Linked DNA regions of Astyanax mexicanus. The protein of the gene in region 2 purifies or fractionates together with the protein of the main gene of each other region. This does not show direct contact. Links are inferred from orthologs where the notes say so. Each region holds a gene or a part of one and is shown on either strand. Other genes may lie near its edges.

Region 1 (7,884 bases), on a different chromosome or scaffold from region 2:
CCTGTGTCAGTATCAGTAGCTATTACAGTGCGGACAACTGTTCGGACGTTGCTGGATGGTGGTAACAGAGTGTAGGAGCTGTTGATTGGGAAAGTGACTGATGGTGGATTATCATTTTCATCCATCACAAAAAGAGATACAGTCGCTGTGGCAGATCGTGGCGGGTCTCCACCATCTACAGCTTTGACTCTGAAAGAATAGGTGGTCTTCTGCTCACGGTCGAACGCCACTGTGGAGAAGATGGTTCCTGTGTTGTTTTCAATAGAGAATATTTCCTCCTCTTCCTCAATGTACAGGCTCATCTCAGCATTCTGCCCCTTATCTGAGTCCATCACTGTGACCATGCCTACAGGGCTGTTGGGCTGCAAGTTTTCCTTCACATAGAAAGTGAATACGTCCTGCATGAACTTTGGCTCATTGTCATTCTTGTCTGCCACAAGCACCACGACTGTGGCTGAGCCCTGCATGACAGGCACTCCTTTGTCTTTGGCAATAACCTTGAACTCATAGCGCTCAGTTTGTTCTCGGTCAAGTATGGTGTTAACACGAATGTCACCACTGTCTGCATCAATGGAAAATATTCCGTTCACTGAGGAGTCCAACGAGTAGAAAATTTCTGCATTTTTGCCACTGTCTGCATCCAAAGCCACCACAGTCGCCACACGCTCACCTGGGGCGTTGTTTTCTGGAAATGAGACCTCCACTGTACTTTTGGTAAAGATTGGCGGGTTGTCATTTATGTCTCCAACTTTTACAATGAGTGAGTTGTTGCTGGACAGGCTGGGGCTGCCTGAATCCACGGCCACGATGACAACATTGTACTCCTGTACGGCCTCGTAGTCGAGCGGTGCTGACGTATGCAGGAAATATTTCTTCTTGTTCATGTCACCTTCTATCTCACTTGCTGGCTTCAGCTGAAAGGGGACATCACCAACCACTGTGCATGTCACCACACCGTTTGGTCCCTTGTCACGATCTGACACTTGGACAAGTGCAATGGGTGTGTCCACTACCACATCCTCTGCCACATTTGCCACACCGTCCCTCAGGTAGATGCGCCCAATTTTTCTTATGTCGATATTTGGAACATTGTCATTTTCATCCTTGATGTTAATGATCATAGTTGCTTTATCAGTCTTAGGGGGCTGACCACGGTCCCTTGCCATGACTGTAAACCTCAGCTGACTTACTTCTTCCCGGTCAATCCTGTGCAGCACGCTCAGCCAACCTGTGCTCTCGTCTAACCGCAGGAGGCGCCGCACAGATTCAGTGGCTGCCCCAAACACATACTCTATCTGCCCATTGACCCCCACATCGGCGTCCATCGCTTTGAGCTGGAGGATGGGGGCACCGGGAGAGCTGTTCTCGGGCAGGTCCGCCTCGTACACGCTCTTCTCGAAGCGCGGGCTGTTGTCATTCACGTCCGTTATCATCACGCGCAGGATGGCCTGGGAGGAGCGCGCGGGGTCGCCCCCGTCCCGCACGCGCAGGGTCAGCTCGTAGGAGTCGCGCTGCTCGCGGTCCAGCGCGCCTTTGATAATTAGCTGCGGTTGCTTCTCTCCGTCCGTGGTGTCGGCCACTTGCAGCTCGAACACGCTGCTCCGACTCTGCGCGTCGTCGAACCTCCTCTTGCCCGAGTGCGCGTCGGTGCTTGCCGAGCCCAGGCGCCTCACGGAGCTCTCCGCGCCGTCTTGGATCAGCTCGTACCTCTCGATCCCGTTGCGCCCGAAGTCCCTGTCCGTGGCGGTGGGGAGCAGGTACAGCGTGCCGATGGGCCGGTTCTCCTCCACGGAGAGGGTGAGCACGGGAGAGGGAAAGGACGGCGTGTTATCGTTGATGTCCAGGATGATGACTTTTCCTTCAAACAAGTCCACCCAGCTTTGCGCGGGGCCGATCACGGACACCTCGAAGTCAATAAAACACTCGTTCTCGTCGAAAATCATCTGACACTGCTGCAGCTTCTCGCGGTCGATCCGTCGCTCGTTGGTGCTCAGGTCCCCGGTGATGTTGTCAATCTTGAAGTAGTCGGAGCCGGACTCGAGCGTAAACGTCACCTCGCCGGACCCGGCTACGATGCCCAGGTCGGCGGCTACATTCCCCACGCGTACGTCCGCGGGACCCTCCTCGGCCAGGCGGTAGCGCAGCACCTGCTTTGCCACCGCGGGCTGACTCAGCAGCTGCAGCAGGAGCCAGCAGTAGCATATACAGTCCACTGCGGTAGAAGTCCTCATCGCTCCGGGATGATTTTTCACTCCAAAAAAATAAAAGGCAAAAATATAAGCAATAAAAAAAAATCAAACGAATGAATCTGAGCTGATCAAATTTTTGTGCTGATTCTTGCTGCTTTTTCTTTCTTGCATATATTCCCACCTTCTCTGTCCTCTTCCCCTTCTTATGCTTTTCCTTTACACCTCAGTCCTTTTTCCTTTTCTTCCTTACCATGAACGTCTCCTGCCCCCCGTATTTAATTAAGCGTCCAAGTCAAACACAAGCACAAGTTCGAGTCCGAGCGAGTCCGCACAGCAAGAGTCTCTCTTTTCCAGCGCTGCGATGTGATGCAATTCGTTCAGCACATGGCAAAGCTGAAGCAAACGCTGCAGTTTTCGAGTTAATTTATTTAGGCTTTTTCTCCTTCCTTCTTTTTTTTCGTTTAGAACAGCAAAAAAGAAAAATAACAAATGAAAAAAAAATCAGTAAGAAAGAAATGAAAAAAAGAAGAAAAAAAGAAAATGATCTCAGTCCGTTTGGGTGTGAATGAAAATGCTGTTAAAATCCAGTCCTCGCGCGCGCCTCCTGCATGTTTTCTCTCTCATTTATTCCCCTTCTCTCTCTCGGTGGGATTCGCACAACTTCTCCTCGCGCAGAAGAAGCAGAAACAGCAGAAACGGCAGCAGCGGCGCACTGAACTGTCCTGCCGCCCCTCCGCCGAGATTTCTGCAGCCGCCCGCCACCGACGACGACAACACGCGCGCGCACTCCCTGCCTCTGCCTCTCTCTCTCTCTCTCTCTCGCTCCCTCACTCCCTCTCACACACTCCCTCTCATACACACATACACACGCGCACGCACGCACGCACGCACACGCCAGCAAGCAAGCAAGCACGCAACGCAAGCAAGCACGAGCGCGCGCACGCTCTCTCTCTCTCTTTCTCTCTCTCTCTCTCTCTCTCTCTCTCTCTCTCGCTTACACACACACTTGCTCCCTCACTCACACAAGCATACACACATTCACACAAGCACGCCGGTTTAGAGTTCCCCCACTTGCATGGAATGAACGTGTGTGATAATGCTGAATAGTAAAAAAGCGTAAAGACAAATACGTAATTATTGCACGAAGAAAGAAGAAGAAAAAAGAGAACGAGGAGCACGAGGAGCCAATAAGTCACCGTCCCTCCCTCCTCCCCACTGTCCTGCTTGTCTCGTGCGTGTATCGTGTCCTGCGCACCGCCGCGGCGTGTTGTACCCCGCTCTGCACCCGCAGCACAGCACCCAGCACAGAGCGCGCGCGCGTTTGTGACACTCCACAAGCGATTCGCAAATGATGTTGCAGACCCTTTTCTTTCTCTCTCTCTATCTCTCTCGCTTTCTCTCTCTCCCCTTTGCGCGCGCGACCGCCCGCGTGCGCGCACCCCAAATCCTCAACTCGCTGAACTGAGTTTTTTTTTTTTTTTATTTATTTATTTATTTTTTATTCTGTTTGTTTGTTGGTTGGTTGGTTTCAGGCAATCCGATCAGAAGCGCGAGGACAGAGATGATCTAATCTAAATGCCGCGTGATTAGGCTAGACTACACCAAGCGGTCGTGAGGGAGCGCGCAAAAGAGAAGGAAGAGGTGCAAGATGGCACCGTGCCAGAACTCAGTTCGGTTCCCCGCGCTCTCCGGGGCTCCGCTGCAGAGCCGCAGAGCCACCAACTCACCGACTCAGCACAGACAGCGCAGAGCGCGCTCCCGCGCCTCGTAAGCGCGCTGACGCGGCGGCTACTGTAGGCGCGCGCGGGGCGTTGCGTTCTGTGGGTCAACTTTTACGCGCGCATGTGTTTTTTTTTTTCATACTGTTTCAGAGTCCGCGCGCGACATGGTCATTAGATCATTATCAGACAGACGCGCGCGGGATCGACCAGGAGTTCCAGTACAGTGTGTGTGTGTGTGTGTGCGCGCGCGTGTGTGTGTTACAGTACTTCGTTCATATTCACAGTTATACACCAAGCAAACACGAACACGGGCACCACGGACAGCGACTGGGAGAGAATGGGAGAGAGAGAGAGAGAGAGAGAGAGAGAGAGAGAGAGAGAGAGAGAGAGATTAGAAGAAGATAAAGGATAGACACAGAACCACAGAACGAGAGAGTATAAGAATGGAGGAATGAATAAAGCTAAAGAGAGGAATAGAAAAATAATTGGGGAAAGAGAAAGTTTAAAGTACTGGAGGAAGGGAGAGGGAGAGAGAGAAAGCAGTCGAGAAAGAGGTTGTATGGAGAGAATGAGAATGAAAAAAGAGTGTGGGGAATGACGGAAGAGAAAGAGAGGAACGGAGAAAGGGAACAGAGAGACAGAGGGCGAGGAAACAAGGATGGAGAGAGAGGGAGAGAAAAAGAAGAGACTGACAGTGTATGGGTTGTGAAACAGAGAGAAAGAAAAGAGAGAGAGAGAGCGTAGGGATGGACGTGGACTGAAACTGAAAGTCAGTCAGGGAGAAAGAGAGAGAGGGGGGAGAAGGATGGAGAGAGAATAGATGGACGGAGAAAAGAGAGAAAGAAAAAGACGGACAGAGAGTGAGATGAACGGTGAAGGGAGGAACACGAGCAAGACTGTTATAGAGAGAGGATGAATGGAACGATAGAAAAAGGAATACTGCTACAGAAAGAGAATGGATGAAGAAAAAGGGAAAAGGATGAGAATGGCGGGATGTAGTGAGAGGGGAAGGAAAAGAGAGGTACATAGAAGGTGACAGGGTGGGAGAAGAGGAACGATGGAGAGTAAGACTGGCATAGAGTGATGGAGAGAGAGGAAGAGGATGGATGGAAAGAAAAGGGGGTGAATGAAGAAAAGGAGATAAAGAGAGAAGGTGTGGGTATGGATGGAGAGCAATAATTGAAGGAGAGGCAGATATCAAAACTCAGAGGACGGATGGAGGGATGAAGTGAAAGAGAGAGAGAGGCTGTGTATGTGTTTGCGTGTGTGTGTCCCTCTTCTCTCTGCTCAGTCCGTGATCTGAAGTCTAACAGCCCGGACTGTGTGTGTGTGTGTGCTCCAGCGCGTGTGAGCTGTTGGGACTGAGAGTGGGGTGTGTGTGTGTTTGGGGGGGTCTGTGGTGTAGACGGTGGGCTGTCAGTGCTGATCACGCGCTCTCTGTTCGGGATGCGTTTACAATAATGTGAAACTGCAGCCCTTTATGAGGTCCCTTCCATTAAACAGGCTGCATGCAGCTGATGCGAGTAATTACTGCTAATTACTCAGATCTGGGAGGGGAACAGTGTGTACGCGCGCTTATTTGCACTGATAACCCCCTAAATATGAGCAATATTGGTCTGAGTGGGGCTCTGAACGCGCGCGCCCTTGTGTATGTGTGTGTGTGTGTGTGCAGACTGAGAGTGTTTCCCTTGCTTTTTGCTTTTTCCCACTCTGGTCAGTCAATGCGCTTCTCCTGCTGCTGCAGCATCAGCTCTCTGCACTCCAATCGCCGCTACACAGCGCCCTCTGTCGTCCTCTTTCATTCAAAATCCCTCTATTACCTATTACACGTTATAAGGCCTCATACGCAGACTCACACACTGTATCACACATGTTCTTTGCTCCCTTTGTCTTCTTAGTGCATTAAAAGTCAGTATTTGATCCTAAGTCAGCTCTGACCTGCAGATCTTTCTACTTTTTTAGCTCGTGCCACATGTCAGGGATCAGTTTAATTCAGATTCCCTGCTGAAAGAAAGAAAAAAAATCAGGTGCAGCACTAATTAGGCCTTTAATGACATTTGTAATGAGTGCTCTCGAAACCCGCTAAAGGGGGTCACCCTTTCTAACACGGACAGCAAAAGTGAGGGGGTCAACTTTTTAATATAGTGGCATTTATTTTTAGATCTCTCTGGTGTGAGCACCTGACTCACACACGCCGTGTCCAAGCAGGACCCTACTTAAACTCCAGTGCACTACATAGAGGGCAAAAGCCATTAACTTGTGCTCTATATAGCACACGGCATAGGGGAACGAGCAGCACCGGATTAGCAAGGAGTCAAGACCACTCTCTGCTGGTCAGTTAATTAAACACTCATGGTATTTAATCCAATTAAGTGTCATACTGTTTGCATGGGGCTGTGCAGACATTCCAGACACAAAAGCATCCGGATAACTGTCCTGGTGGTCTAGATCTGCAATGAACAAGCAGCAAAAGAACAATTAAACTAATCAAATGAACATTAAACTTTAATCTTTAAAGCTTAACCTAAATCTAAGACTCATTTTTCAGTAACTACACTGTAAGCCCAGATAAGTTAAACTTACTTTAAAAATGTGAGGAAACCGGTTGCCTTAAAAAAGTTAAATAATGGGGAATGAAAACTTAAGTTTTTACAACTAAAGGAAAAGTTGATTTAACTTTTCTATTTTTGTTATATTGTAAGACTGGATAAGTTGAGTTTCCTTAACTTTCTTAAGGCAGCCGGTTTGCTCAAATGTTTCAAGTAATGGGGAATGAAAACTTGAGTTGGCATAAATTAAAACATCAAGTTATTACAACTAAAAGGGAACTTGATTTACTTCTAAGGTAGCCCAAGGGGTATCACTAAACACTGATGGTAAGTGTCAGAAACTGTTGGACACACCCAGTATGCAAATAGATTGTGAAAGAAGCCAATGGAAAAGAAGCTGCCAATGACAACAGTTATTAAACTCAATTATTATAATCTGGTTCAACTCAAAGATCTCTGTTTGAATGTATATATGTGCCCACAAATGGTCAACTAACTCAAAAGAGTTAAGAAATGTTTAGAAATATCATATAATATATATATATATATATATATATATATATATAATATCGTATAATTTATGTAAAACAGACTTTTTGGAGTTTAAACAACTTCTGGGTTTACATTGTAGTAAAGAAGATTGTAAAGAAGAAGACTATCTACCTGTATCAGTAACTGCTATAAATTGATCTGTATCTATTATAACTGATTGAGCATCTATAAACGATTAAACCTTCACACATAGACCTCTCTCTCTCTCTCTGTTACGGGAGACGTCGGAGGGGTGTGAAGGAGGAGGACGTAAGTGCAAAGATAATATTTATTTTAAACAAACAAGATAAATCAAATCAAAACAAACAAAACACGGGTAACGCAAAACAACAAGGCTTGGATAATATAAACTGAGAAACACTGACTAAGAAACTAAGACGAGGATACAAGAAACACAGACTAAGAAACTAAGACTAGGCTACAATCGGACTGCAGGGATACAAAGATACAGCATACAAAATACAAAATACAAAAGACTCGACACTGAACATTCTAACAGAGGGGCTTAAATACAAGAGGAGAGTGAGAAACACCTGGGCTAGGAAGACGAGGGGGCGGGGTTACAAACAGGACACAGGTGAGAACACTGATGCTACAGGGCAGGGCTGGGGCGGAGCTAGGGTGGAGACAAATACTAACAACAACAATAGCACATGGCTGTGAACACTGACAGGAAAACAGAGGGGCAGGAGCACAAGAGACAAAATAAGGGAGAAACAGAAGACAGACATGGGCTAAACTGTAACATTACCCCCCCTCAACGGCGCCACTACCAGAGGCGCCGAGAGAGAGGGAACAGGGACTGGACTGTGGACGGAAACAGAGACTGGACAGGGGACCGAACAGGAGACGGAGACTGGACAGGGAACGGAG
Region 2 (7,480 bases):
TGTGTGTAATACATCTATATAATATTTGACTTTCACATTTTAAACTGAAATACTGAAATAAAGTATTTTGTCAATGATATTCTCATTTTGTGAGATGCACTAGTATATATTTTCTTTAATTATTTTCATTTAATTCCTTTTTATTTTCTTACAGGAGGTTGGATATGCAGTACCATGGGCCTCAGATCTTACAGACTCTTCTTACAGAACTCAAACACAGAACCATCACACGCAGAGTCAGTGACCGAGCAGTTCTACGGACAGTTTCTACACATCTCCAGTTTTGTAGATGATTGTGTACAGTACATTCTAGCAGTTACCCTGCATCAGATATCATACCTCAGATGGAAATGTTTTATGATATTGAAATTACGTGGCTGAGTAGTCCCTCAGGGAATTTCTGTAAATGGTAACCTGTTGCATCTCCATCCTACACCTCCTGCATCTCATACAGCCTTCCAAATAAACAGGTGATAAAAATGACTCTTCCCTCCACACCCACTCAACTACAGCATGAACAGTACTGGAAGACTGCCGCATTAGTCTCTGGGTTTGTATAAATCAGACTCCTCTGCTAGCTATCCTGTAAATAGTGTTTATAGGTTGTTTTGTAGGTGAATATTTTAATAATAAAAAATATAAAACTTTTTTGGTGTCTTTTTATTTTATTTCCTCTTGAAAAGCAATTTCCAAAAATAGAAAATTGTTCCACAAACAGTAATTGTGTACTACTAATCTTAACAGTGTGGGCTTTATATTAAAGGGGGCATATTATACCTCATTTTTGAGGTTAGAATAGGTGTATAAGATATACAAAATATGTTCATGAAGTTCTTCACAGTTTCAGTCTCTTCCAGAATGAGTTTAAGGGCTCTGTCACTTTTACACAGCCAGTTGTTGCTGGCCACATGCCATTTTTACACTTAGCATTTACCCTGCATTAGTCTTAGCTTGTGCTAAATGGCAAGATACAAACAAGCTAACTGTGATAGAAGCACAAACCTAATTATTTAAAAGAACTTACATCTCCCTCATCTACTGACTTGCCACGGACAGTAAGTACAGATCCCTCCTTCAGACAAAGTCTGCTGGCTAATCCCGCTGTGTACTCTCTGAGGTTCTCAACCTAAAGGGAATTGGCAAAATGTGTTCATAGGGACAGGCGACACCCAAGTGGAAATACAAAAGCATGCAAAAAGTAAGTTTTGCACAATGTCCCCTTTAATGTATTAACGTGTTTCATACTAAAAGAAAGTGATGATCAGTTCTGAGTATGTAAAGTGGATATTTGTGTACTCAACTTTCACAATTGTATCTATACTACATACTCAAACACTAGTTTATGTTTATATGGAGAACATATTTTGGTTGGATTCTCAAAACCTCAGTAAAAGACTGTCAAACCAGTTGTGGTAATCTTGTGTTAAAGTCTTAAGCTAACTGTTTTTTTTAATCTACTGAAATAGTGTAGAATTATCTAAATGTGTGACCAGAGCATATCAACTCATGAGTGACATCATTCCCAACTGCATGTAGTACAGATAATGCAAGATGTCTTAGTAAAGAAGAGTTGCTGTCAAGTAATTTAAACATGACATCAGATTACTAAATTCCATATAGAAAACAATTAATCCATCATTTTAATAAAAATAACAAAAAATTTCTCGTAAGCTAAACGTTTTTGTTTTTGTGCAATGATTCAAACACACAGGATTGTGCATTATTGCTTCTTGGCTGGTGAAGAATCCACCTATAGTGGTGAAAATAATATTTCGATCATCTGCTCATTTTGCAAGTTTATGGATTTTATCATAGGTTTATTTTAACAAAATGAGACAGAATATCATTTCAAATCCAGAACAAATATATTAAACAAATTTTAGAAATTCATTTTATTTGATTAGGTGAAAAAAGTATTTGATCCCCAAGCAAAACAAGACTTAGTACTTGGCTGAGAATGCAGAGAGATCTAAACTTTTTTTGTAATTGATCACCAGGGGTTTTAGAATATAATATTATTTCAGCTACTGTCTGTATTATTTAAAGTGGGGTCCCTATTAATGCTGTTTTTCCCAATATGACAGGGTGAAAATATTAAATTATGTTATTAGTGTTTCAGGGGCTTAAACTTTTTTTGATCTTGTTTTTTTATTATTTCACCTGGATGTTTTTTTGTATTACAACACCATAGCAACCCCTTAGTAACCACCTTGCAATATCTACAAAGCAACACATTAGCAAACAAAACCTATATCACAGCACACTGCTGAATGTCAGTCACACTGGCAGTTTATTCAGGAACTGCACTGATGCTCTGATGCTCCTGAGACTGTGTGATGTTCTTTCACTGAGGTATATAACAGGAAATATGTGTCCCTACAAACCAGGTATTTGACTTATGTCCCCAGATCGTAATTAATTAAAAACTGTGTGTACACTATATGTTCAAATGTTTGTTGGCAACCCATTTCAATAAAGACATTCTGCTCTTTGCTGACACAGATGTCCAAAAGCACACACACAGCTTGTCTAGACCTCATAGAGAAGTACTGCTAATAGAATAGGGACTCTGGAATAGATAAACAAAGATGAACCTGTTGGAACTATGCCTTATGCCAGGTTTTTCCTTGACAGTAGAGACAGTTACTCCAACAAACGTAGAAGAAACATTGAATGAGCATGTGTCCCAATACTTTTGTCCATATAGTGAATTAGGGTATAGGGTATAACTCCTTTTTTTACCATCTATAGACACTATGATATATACACTAGATGTCCAAATATGTTCGGGCATGAAGCATTATGCATGCAGTATTAGCAGCAATCAGCTGCAGTACCACCTTTTCTCATTCAATGTGTTTTCTTTTTTTTATTATTTTTTTTACATTGTACATTTAATATATATATATATATATATATATATATATATATATATATATATATATATATATATATATATATATATATATATATATATATATGACTATATTAAAGCTATACAGGAACACATGCAGAATTAACTAGTAAACAAAAAGTGTTAGACAAACCAGAATATGTTTTATACTTTAGATTGTCCTAAGTAGCACATTTATCTTTGAAGAAAGATCTGCACACTCTTGGTACTTTAATCTCAGTGTCTTCATCAGGGAGAATCATCTCAGAGTCTTGAAGGAAGGAGTTTCTGGAGGTGCTGAACAATAGTTGCTGCTTTTCCTTCAGGCTGCTGTGAAGCTCCAGCTCATCCTAAATCACCTCCACTCACCATCTCAGTTCATCAGGTTTAATACAAACTGTTTTTTGTTTACTACTTAATTCTATATGTGTCTCTTAATTGTTTTTAAAACATTGTGTCTTTAATATTAATCTACAATCTTGACAATAAATTAAATGAAAAATATAGAAAAACATTGAATGAAAAGGTGTGTCCAAACTTTAACTGGTATTTAAACTGTATTTTAAGTTACACCTTGTCTAGTGCCTGTAGATGCTGTAAATGCTGCCAATAGAATAGGACCCTTTGGAGCGGGCTTCCGTCCAATACTGTTGAAAGGAGTTGCTGAGGATAAGAATGCAATCAAATCCTCACAGCAATGTCTATTGTACTAAATCATCTTGTAGAAATCCTTCTTCACTGGGCAGTAGACACTCCAACAACAAAACATAAAGCTCTGGAAAAAAATAAGAGACTACTTAAAAGTGATTTTTCTTTGATTTTACCAAATTGAAAACCTCTGGAATAGAATCAAGAGGAAGATGGATGATCACAAGCCATCAAACCAAGCTGAACTGAATTTTTGCACCAGGCGTGGCTTAAAGTTATCCAAATGCAGTGTGTAAGACTGGTGGAGAAGAAAGGCTAAGATGAATAAAAACTGTGATTAAAAACCAGGGTTCTTTCACCAAATATTGATTTCTGAACTTTTTAAAACTTTATGAATATGAACTTGTTTTCTTTGCATTATTTAAGGTTTGAAAGCTCTGCATTCTTTTGTTATTTTAGCCATTTCTCATTTTCTGCAAATAAATGCTCTAAATTACAATATATTTATTTGTAATTTGGGATAAATGTTGTCTGTAGTTTATAGAACACAACAACAATTCTTATTTTACTCAAACATATACCTATAAATAGCACAATCAGAGAAACTGATTCAGAAACTGAAGTGGTCTCTAAATTTTTCCATAGCTGTATATGAATAAGCAGGTGTCCCAACACTTTTGTCCATATAGTGTAATATGTGCGTGAGCATGCGCAGTGGCGTTGTTGGGTGGCCCCGCCCCCTTTCTTCAGTGAAAGCCGAGATTGTAGCGGAGGGGGAGGAAACACTATGAAAGGAGAGCGCTGGACTCGGAGACTTTTTGGCGCTGGAGTTTACACTAAATTGCGGAGTTTTGCATTTTAATTTTACTTTTTATAGCAGGAGAAGAGAAGTAAGAGTTTTAACTGAGTTTTCTTACAGGGAAACTCTGCGCTGCTGCTCCGTACACAAGCGAGACGCCCGCGAGACGCCTAAACAAAGTTAGCCGAGGAGCTAGCCTCTTAGCTCGGACAGCAGGAGCGGCCGGGAGTCGCGGGGTGGTGAAGGTGGAGGAGGTGGAGGAGGTGGAGGGCAGCTGGGCAGCCGGGCAGCCGGAGAGTGCCGAGGCTTCCTTCACCCTCCTCCCGCGGGAGAGTTAAGTTAACTAACTGCTAGCTAACCTAGCGAGTATGTTGCCCTCAGCAGGCAGCTCAAGCTTCGGATGAGGTTGGGACTGAGCTGCGAGGCTGAAGCGGAGACCTACAGAGCGGAGAGTGAGCCGCCATGCCGCCGAATCGCCCGGGTCTGTCCCCCGCCTTGCCGGGGAAGGCGCTCCGGAGCCCCGCGGGCTGCCCGCTCCTCCTGCTTCTGCTGCTGATGGTGGAAGGGGCCCTGTGCCTCGCCAAGCCCGGCGGAGCGCCGCCGCTGAACGGGAATGGCCGTCCGAGTGTGAACGTGTTCATGAGCGAAGAGGAGGTGAAGAAGCTGCTGGGTAAGTGTCCCAGAGTGTCCGAAAACTTTCGGTCAGTTTACCCCGCTGTGTCCTACTAAACACTGGAGAAATAAAGTTGGTAACTCAGCAGGTAAACCAGCTTCAGCTCCAGCGGAGTGAAGCCCAGGCTGTGTTATAAAGTGTGAAATTATGTGTTTTATGGTTTAAAAGTGTTGGTTTAGCGTTACATAACTTTATTAATAAATAAAGTTCAGTTTCTCTTGGAGTCCAGCAGCTGTTAGCTACACTAGAGCTAACAGCTAACACTGTTTATCAGTCCTGAGTCCTGTGGAGGAGGATAAGTTATTACTATAGAAATACAGTTCTTTTATATATTATCTCAAATAAAGGTCTCAATTCCCTTAAATTGAGAGTCTCAAAATACAGTATAATGAACATGTCTAAATGTTTTAGGTATCTCAAAAATAATGAGTATTGAATAATTAAGTATCTCAAAATATCAGTTAGCTTCTTAAAATGAAGAGAAACCATTTAAACTACCCAAAAAATTATCTGAAAAGAATGGATTAAATTTTCAAAATGAGAATATTTGAAAATAACGAGAAGTCACTAAAAATCTAATGATAAACCATCTCAAAATACCGGACAATAATCTCAAAATAACAAGAAATTAGCTCATATTAACGAGAAATCATTCCAAGACAATGAGAAATCAAATTGAGATTTTGAAAAAAAAAACGACTCAAATGAGTGTCCCAAAACAAGGACCATGTATTTTAAAATAAAGAAAAATAATATATTTAAAAAAAGAGTTTTAAAATAATGAGAATATTCATAGTCATCTAACTATGAAGAAAAACACACAAAAAAATGGTAAACAACAAAGAGTATGTTTTATATTTTAGAAGTAGCACCTTTTGTTTAGATGATAGCTTTACCCATCTTGGCTGCATTTTCTCAGTCAGCTATATGAGGTAGAGACACCTGGAATGGCTTTCAGTTAACAGCTGTGCTGAACTTATCAAGAATTAATAACTTGAATTTCTTGCCTCTCTATGTGTTTGAGAGCATCAGTTGTAAAGTTGTGAAGAGGTACAGTTGGTATACAGTGAACAGCCCTATTTGAGTAATGTTCTAATCCATATTGTGGCAGTAACTACTCAATTATGCACAGAAAAAATACTTGAAATGAAGGTCAGTCAATCTAAAATATCAAAAACTTTGAAAGTTTCCTCAAGTGCAGTTGCAATGATCATTAAAACGTTGATGATGAAAGTGGCACTCATCAGGACCACCCCAGGAAAGGAAGAACAAGAGTTACCTCTGTAGCACAGGATAAGTTCATCAAAGTTGCCAGCATCATAAACCTCAAGTTAACAGCTCCTCAGATAAGAGCACCTAAATGCTTCTTCACAGAGTATTTTGGTTTCTTTAACACGTTTAAGTTACTACATGATTCCTTATGTGTTCCTTCATAATCTGGATGAAGTCTATATTCATTTATAATGTAGTAAATTAAATGGTGTGCCAAAACTTTTGACTAGTATTAGTTAGTAAGCTGGAAAGGCAAGCAGTAGATACAGCTCCAGTGGAGTGTCTTTTTCCAATTTGTGTGTTAAGTGTAAATGTTCCTTTAGGACTTAAAATGTTTTTTTTTTTGAGTAGAATAAACTAACTTTTAACTAAAGTCCAGCAGCTGTTGGCTAACCTATCTCCATGCAGGGCAGCTAATGGCTAACAGTGTTTATCAGTCCTGTAGAAGTCATTTAGAGAGAGGAGGATGTTCGTATGGGAGCTCAGACCAAGCAAAGCTATGCTGTTTAATCGAAAAGCATTAAGCATTTAATAATCATACCAAAAATATCACAAAATGAGATTATATCTCAATTTAACAATTTAGTATCTCAAAATAATCAAACCTTAATATTGACAAAATTTAATTATATAACATCACAAAATTAGCATTTCAAACTAGAGTGTTTCTTAGAATTTTAACTTAGTATCTCAGAATAATCAAGTAGCATCTTTGGAAAATGACTGCTTCAAAATAATAAGGCAGTAACTCAAAGTAATAAAAGAGTTCCTCAAAATATAAAGACTATTTTAAAACCCTGAGAACGTGTCTGATAATTAAACTTAATATTTCTGTATTGTGAGTAAAGGTGGTCAAACTATCAAGATCTCAAAATAATAATTTAATTTATCAAAATAATGAATATCTCAAAATTATTATAATAATGACTTTGTATCTAAAAGAGTCTTTTTTGTTAAATACATTTTTTAAGTATTAGCAAATGTACCTTCAAATAATACGTCAGTACCTTGAACATAATGAGACAATCTCAAAATGTTAAAGTATCTTAAAATAGTGACTTAGTATCTTAAAAACATTGATTCATAATGAAAATATGTAGAAACGATCTCAAAGTTCTGGCTTTTGCCTGTGCAGGATAATGTGACACCCTGCCCTTCATCACTGATCCAAAAACACGTCTCCATCTGTAATAAA

Evidence for each region. The genes of interacting proteins can lie anywhere in the genome.
Region 1: the proteins of ryk (region 2) and pcdh7b purify together in Homo sapiens (affinity purification with mass spectrometry; 3 studies listed by BioGRID and IntAct, with this or other methods). This does not show direct contact. The link is inferred for Astyanax mexicanus from reciprocal best matches to the Homo sapiens genes RYK and PCDH7.

The regions. Positions count from the first base shown.
Region 1 is NC_064415.1:22,293,648-22,301,531, forward strand, and holds the start of pcdh7b (protocadherin-7b), read right to left. Parts: upstream 3,496-7,884; 5' UTR 2,232-3,495; coding exon 1-2,231.
Region 2 is NC_064412.1:48,568,203-48,575,682, reverse strand, and holds the start of ryk (tyrosine-protein kinase RYK), read left to right. Parts: upstream 1-4,288; 5' UTR 4,289-4,802; coding exon 4,803-5,010; intron 5,011-7,480. UniProt on the Homo sapiens protein: May be a coreceptor along with FZD8 of Wnt proteins, such as WNT1, WNT3, WNT3A and WNT5A. Involved in neuron differentiation, axon guidance, corpus callosum establishment and neurite outgrowth.